Linked DNA regions of Cricetulus griseus. The protein of the gene in region 1 interacts with the protein of each later gene in a pairwise test. Links are inferred from orthologs where the notes say so. Each region holds a gene or a part of one and is shown in the gene's direction. Other genes may lie near its edges.

Evidence for each region. The genes of interacting proteins can lie anywhere in the genome.
Region 2: the proteins of Clk4 (region 1) and Ubl5 interact in a two-hybrid assay, tested with the Homo sapiens proteins (2 studies listed by BioGRID and IntAct). The link is inferred for Cricetulus griseus from reciprocal best matches to the Homo sapiens genes CLK4 and UBL5.

Annotation. Positions count from the first base shown.
Region 1 is NC_048600.1:65,546,836-65,550,347, forward strand, and holds part of Clk4 (dual specificity protein kinase CLK4), read left to right. Parts: intron 1-1,121; exon of another isoform or gene 1,122-1,127; coding exon of another isoform or gene 1,128-1,180; intron 1,181-2,516; coding exon 2,517-2,739; intron 2,740-3,512. UniProt on the Homo sapiens protein: Dual specificity kinase acting on both serine/threonine and tyrosine-containing substrates.
Region 2 is NC_048597.1:133,522,995-133,526,573, forward strand, and holds Ubl5 (ubiquitin-like protein 5), read left to right. Parts: upstream 1-1,249; 5' UTR 1,250-1,405; intron 1,406-1,660; 5' UTR 1,661-1,671; coding exon 1,672-1,727; intron 1,728-1,875; coding exon 1,876-1,959; intron 1,960-2,105; coding exon 2,106-2,143; intron 2,144-2,919; coding exon 2,920-2,963; 3' UTR 2,964-3,072; downstream 3,073-3,579. UniProt on the Homo sapiens protein: Ubiquitin-like protein that plays a role in cell proliferation and sister chromatid cohesion by associating with spliceosomal proteins. Participates thereby in pre-mRNA splicing by maintaining spliceosome integrity.

The DNA of each region.
Region 1 (3,512 bases):
AGAGTAAAGTGTAGATACATGCATTCTAAGCCTCTGACTGGTGGTGCTGTCTGTGTAAGATGGCACTATGCTGTTTTCCTGGAATTTTTCCTACTGTCCATTTTGTCCAAATCCTGGCTTTCCTTTAAGATGCTTATCTGCTTTTGTCTTTGTCATGAATTCTTCCCTAATCATTTAATGAGATTGAAATCTTTGCTTTCCCTGAGTCTAAGCGATCATTAGCACCTTTTCAACAGTTTTTTTTTTTTTTTTGCATTTGTCTATTTTGATTTTTCTATTTTTGTGTGTGAGTAATCTTAAATTGTTCATTTATTGGGGAGAGACTTTGCCTTATATGCTTTATTTTATCTCCCACAGGACCTTTGTGGAAATAAAAACAAATGTCAGTGCACTCAACAGTTTGGGCTGTTTTGAAAAGCTACAATGAAATATTCACTGAGCATTCAGTGGATATTTTTTAAAAAATCAGACCTGTTATTCTGTCTGCCCTGTCCACAGCTTGTATAATTCTGTAGACTTTAACCTTTGGTCTTTGGTTGTCATAAACGGGAAAGGTCCTTCTCATGTTAGCTCTGTTCATGATAGTACATCACCACCCCCATTTTTTTTTTTAATCATTAGTAGATTGTTTTGGAGTGTCAGCAGGGCCAGTTTCACATAGTATTCCAGTTAAAGATTATCAGTGTAGTTTTTTAAGGTAGACTTTGAATGTGTGGAGGTGGGTGTGATAATTTATAAAATTAAATAGGATGCCCTTAGAAGTATGACATCTAGTTTGTTGTGTTTCATCTAGATCTCTGTTTTAGACCAATTGACTCAGGTCCAGAGTTTTATCCTAATAGCCTGAGTTGTTTTTCCAGAGGTTAGGAAGAACTTGAGAATGATGCTAGGCCATAAGAAAGCCTAGCCTGAATTAGATGCCAGGTCTGTTGAGCAGTTGTCCTAGGGATGTTTCTCTTTATTTCTGCTTAAACCAGCACTTGGGAAGAAAATGACAGCATATCCTGGGGGAGTGTAAAGGGGTTGAGGGGGGCAGCCTCAGCAACATCTGTCACTCCATTGCTTGTCAGGATTATTTAGCTGATTTGTCTGACTGGGCAGGTGTCCCCTCTCTCCCTCAGTGCTCCATGTGCATCCCTCTTGAAGCTTCGCACTCTGTTGAAGAGGACACTCATCCCAGGTAGAGGGGGGATGGGAAACTGGGCCAATTGAATCTGTCCTTTTCTTTCCATCAGATCAGGACACTTAACTGGGACCCATTGACTTCCTGAGGTCCATGACCTCCATGAAGTTCTTGCCAAGTTTTGTTTATGCATTTGCACATTTCTTGGGGGAAAGGGTCTACAACCTATCCCATCAGGTTCTCAAAGGGATCTGTAGAAGCACTGTGGCACTAGAAAATGCTGTTTTCTTTTCTATTTCTTGGGTATTTTCCAAGAGTCACAGGAAATTAGAAATGCAAAGTCAAACTGGAGAGATGGCTCAGCCATTAAAAGGCTAGGCTTACAACAAAAAATACAGGAAATGCAAAGGCAAATAGAATGGAAGGATGTCCACAGTCCTGGACCCTTTTGGTTAGGAGGGTCAATTTTAGGTGTACTTGGCACATTAGGCAGGCCTCAGAAGTTCTGGTGTCTGATTGTCAAACAGGAGTAATAGAAAGCTTAGACATAGAAAAGAGAGGAGTTAGAATAGGTGACATGTTTGAAATATCTTAGTTTTTGCCACTAGTGTACTCTGCAACAATGGCATATCCTTTAGGGGTCTTAATTGAGTTAGTAAATAAAAGGACTGAAAATACATTTAAGGCTCCTGTATCTGTGATACACATTATGGAAGAAGTCTGTCAGGGATATCAAAATGCACTTACATTAAAGGGGAAAGGAATCCTCTTTTGCCTTTCTCTAAATGTGTGTCTCTGAGAGAGCGAGAGCGGGAAAGGAAGCTAGTTTCAGATGTTGTAAGATCAGTGCATTTCAGAACAGGTTTGCAGGTTTGATCTTGACTTTTCACAAGGTAAAGGAACATTTGATTTTAAGTATTTTGTAATTAAAGCTCTGTTCCTTGGTATGAATTGTTGACAGCAGTTTTCTAATGTGTGGGGTTTTTTGTGTGGGGTGTTGTTTTGTTTTGTGGGTTTTTTTTTTTTTCTTTCTTTCTTTCTTTTTTTTTTTTTTTTTGGAGATGTTTCATGTGGCCCAGGCTGGCTTCAAACTTGCAATGTACCTCACTCAGGATTACCTTGAATTCTTGATCCTCCTGCCCTCACCTTCCAAGTGTTGGGATTACAGGCATATACCAGCATGCCTGGCTGTAGCAAGTGTATATGGGAAAATATGGAACTATTTGGTTAAAGTTATTAAGTTATCTGAGATAAGTATAAATCTAATCTCATCGACTTGAATTTTTCCTTTTATTGTGTTAGCTATTTAAACCAAGAATTCTTAAGAATTTTGTTTGAACCACATTATTTCAGAATGAAGAGAATAACTTGAGATCCTTGAATGTGTTTACAGTCACTATTTAGAAGCAAGATGCTTGAATGGAAGAGATTATCGGGACCGGAGATACATTGATGAGTACAGAAATGACTACTGCGAAGGATATGTTCCAAGACATTACCATAGAGACATTGAAAGCAGTTACCGGATCCACTGCAGTAAATCCTCAGTCCGAAGCAGGAGGAGCAGCCCTAAAAGGAAGCGTAATAGACACTGTGCAAGTCATCAGTCACATTCGGTATGAGTGATTTGTTTTTATTTTGAATGGATTCTTGTTTGTAAGGCTCTAAAAGAATGATAAGTTTCTGAAAAAGTTTTTTTAATACTATTTGGATATGCTATAATTTATATTCATATACTTGAATCCTTAAAGGAAGTGAACACATACTCATAACTGACACCTGTGTATTATTAGCTAGTCTTCACTTGCCCACACTTACTCATTCTGCAAACCAGATCATGAATTTGTTGGTTTTAATAGTAAAAAGCATCTTATTTTGTGGTTGTACAGTATATTTAAAAAAATGAGGCACCCATAGTTTTCTTTGAATGTAAACTTTTTTTTTTTTTTTTTAAAGAAACTGCTTTACTGTTTATTGGAAACAACTCAGGCAGGTCACATTGTTGGGGTGCTTAGCGATTGCTTACTAGTGTGTAGTCTAGCTTCTAGTACAACACAACATTATTGTCTGCAGTTAATTTTGCTGAAGTTGTGAACCTGGGTGCTGAATGGGAAATGTATTGAGAAAGCCAGACGTCTTTAATTTGTAAATTTTGAGATACCATTTCCCTCCCGAAGTTTTTTAGACGTCTTTAATTTGTAAATTTTGAGATATCATTTCCCTCCCGAAGTTTTTTCTGTTACAACTAGCATTTATTAGATTGAAGATTGAAATTAGCCTTTACTTCCCCTCTTATTATGATGTCCATTTTTAAATGTTGCTAAAAGAGAACAATTTCAACCAATCTTGACATTTTTCTGACAAACTAGACAACTCAACTCACAGCATA
Region 2 (3,579 bases), on another chromosome or scaffold:
GGGAGGCAGAGCAGGCGGATCTCTGTGAGTTCGAGGCAGAGCATGGTCTACAGAGCGAGTGCCAGGATAGGCTCCAAAGCTACGCAGAGAAACCCTACCTCGAAAAACAACAACAACAAAAAAAAAAAAAAAAAAAAAAAAAAAAAAAAGAAAAAAAAGAAACCCCATTTTTCTGGTACGTATGCTTGAGCCTGGGAAGTATTTTCTGAACGGGAACGACGCACCGGGAAGAGGATGGACCAGATCAGAACACTAAGGACGTGAATCAGGACTTCATTCCAGACCGAAAGGTGTAACTGGGGTGAGGCTGAGGGGCCAGGACTGCCAAGCCAGGGAGGCGTGGCCACAAGCCGCAATAAAAAGAAAAAGTAATGCTTTCTGCTGCCTACTCGTAAGGATAAATTTTGTATAAGTGGTATTAGCTAAGCACAAGGCCCTGGTAGATTTTTCTTTTTCTTTTTGAGACAGTCTCTCTACAAAGTTTTGCCTGGAACTCGCTATATAGACCAGGATAGCTTCTAATACACTGGCCTATATAATACCAGCAACTTCCGAGGGTGGACATTAGTACCACAAATTCGAGATCAGCTTGGTCTATATATTGACACCCCATGTCAAGAAAATTAAGCAACTTTTAAAAAATAAATATATGTGTATATCTTACCTTACTGAGTACTGTCTGCTAAGAAGTTATCGTTCAGGAGAGGTGGGAACTGATTGAATTTAGAGAGGGATTCCTTCCCCATCAGCTCTCGCGATTCTGTAATCTGTAACAAGGTGTTCCTCGAAGATTAAAAAAAGAAGAAAAAAAATCGATTTTTTTTTTTTTTGTCCAGGATGGTGTTTCCAACATCTTCGCAGGCAGGACCCCGACAGACACATAGGGTGGTGTGGAGCACGGCCTGCCGCCCGAGACACAGCTTAGCTTTCATCGGCGGCAGTCTGCACCCCTAGGGTCTCGGAAGCAGTCGCTGTAGTCAGAGGGTAACGGCAAGCACAGGGGCCGAGACGGAGCTTTGAATGAACACCGAGAGCGCGGCAGCCAGGGCACCCGCGCGACTCCAGGTCCGCTGGGCAGCCGGGATTCTGCGGTAGGAGGTTTGTTTGGCTTGGGGATGGCAGACGCTTTGGGTCTCTTCCACAACAAAGGGATCGCCAACACTGCTCCGACCGTCGGCTGTAAATCCACTAGGACCGCCGCTCAGTCTCACAGTCTTCCAACCCAGCCTCGGCTCGGCAAACTGCGCCACAGAACCGCGTCTGTGAAAGCCCGGAATCCGGAAGCACCTAACAGCGGATGTTTCCGTTATATCACTTCCGCTTCCTGCTACTAGCCCTAAATCGGGCCAGGGCTCGGCGTTCGAGCTGGGAGTTGTGTCGTCGATAAATTCGAGGGGAATTAGAGGTGAGGGAGCTAAACTGAGAGGCCCGGGATCACGGGGAGCGGCGGGAGGCGAAGCCGGAGGCCGGGGCTGGGCCTGCGGGAGTAAGGGGCGGAGACGCGACTGTCTGGGTCCCCGCCGCTGAGACCCCGGACGGGGCTGCCGGGGATGTGTGTTCGGGTGGTGTGGACAGAGAACTCCACTCGGGAAGGGACTTTGGGCGACCCCAGAGTTCTGACTCCGCTATCTCCCATCATCTCCCCCCCCCCCCGGTGTAGCCGCAGTCACGATGATTGAGGTTGTTTGCAACGACCGTCTCGGAAAGAAAGTCCGCGTCAAGTGCAAGTATCCACCAGGGGGTGACCGGCCGTGGTCTCTGGGGCAGCTGCTGGTGTTAGGCAAATTGTGGTTAAATGGCGTAGATGGGGAGGCCTAATACCGTCTTCCTCGTTCTACCTCCTCCCTCCATTTACCTTAACTCCTTCGTGCCCAGCACCGATGACACCATCGGGGACTTGAAGAAACTGATAGCAGCCCAAACTGGCACCCGCTGGAATAAGATCGTCCTTAAAAAATGGTAAGTGCTGGTGGGGATTAGGCTAGAAGGTTGCGGTTGGGGGAGCGCCTCAGGCAACCCCGATGAGGGCTCAGCTTGCTTTCAAGACAAAAGCCCACCTCAACCCCGCCAAATAAGCTTCTCTCTGAAAGATGTCTGTCCCGTAGGTACACGATTTTTAAGGACCACGTGTCTCTGGGAGATTGTATCCTTTTCCTGACTTTTGTGAAAGAATCCATATACTTGAGTTCTGGTTCTATATTGAAACCTGTAGGGTTGTTTAACTTAAAATGTGGCCTATAGATAGGGACTACTGAGAAAATGGAAAGTATGGCGTTATTTTGTTGATGAGGAGGGTGGTGGAATAGTTTAACTTGGTTCAGAAGGATTTTGACGTTCAGGTTCAAAATATTTATGACTGAACAGCACATGGATATTGGACAGGAAGTGGAGGTGGAGTATACCTCAGATGTGACTAGTGGACAACCAGTATGATTTTTTTTTTTATGGGGGCAGGGGAGGGGTTCTGGGTCTTTTGCTGCAATTACGTTTATGCACCACATGCATGCCTGCTGCTGACTTAGGCCAGAAGGAAGCTTCAGATTCCCTGGAACCGTCGTGTGAGTGCGGGGATTGAACCCAGTTCCTGTGCAAGAGCAGCCATGAGTGCCCTTCAACTGTTGCTCTATGTCTTCAGCCTGAGTATGAACATTTAAGAAAATGTGTTAATTATTGCTGTGTGTGAAGGCCTGGGGCACTTGAGAATCTGACTCTACACCAGGCTTTGATGACAAACAGTTTTGCCTTCTCAGTGATGGTCACTTACATTATTTATAGCTTGAATTCTTAGATCAAAGTGCACATTCTAAAATTGCTTCCTTATTCCAAGGTTGGTTGTCGAGCCACAAGGTTCCATCCAACTGTGAGTGGGTAAAGGGTAGAGTCAGCCCTCAGTGAAAATTCCTTAATACTTGTCTTCAGATGAAATCCATGATGGGATGAACCTGGAGCTTTATTACCAATAGACGGGAATCCTTCTCCTTGACTACCCTGCCTTCCTCTCCCACCCTCATTTGACACTGGTATAGATGCACATTTTTAACAGTTCACATGAATAAAGACTTTGATGCTGCTTTGTTGCTGTCATACTTACATGAAGGTTGTATCCGGAGGGGAGAGCTGGTGTCTGGTGGGTATAGTTCCGTACCCTGTTCCTTGAGGAAGACTAACTGGAGGCTGGGCCTGGTAGTGCACACCTGACATCTCAGCACTTGAGAGATGGAGGCAAAAGGATCAGGTGTGAAGTCATGAGGGAAGAGTAGCCTAGTAGAATGGGACCCGGAGCTCTGCTGTTGCCTCTGGGTCACTGATGGGCAGAGATCCTGTGAGTATTGCCGTCCTCATAAACCATTAACCTGCATAGGGAGGGTAGATATGCTAGCTGGAACAGGGTCTGGCTTCACAAGACTGTGAGTAGGACACCTGCCCCACAGCTGAATTGCTCTAGGGAAGTTTCTTTACCCTCCTAAGCCTCAACAATGGTTTCAGTATCTTGAACCATCTCTACAATGGTTTCAAGACTAGGGTAAAATACAGTCTCCATTGTGAGGTATTAAAAAGCAGGTCCTTCACTACGTGTGA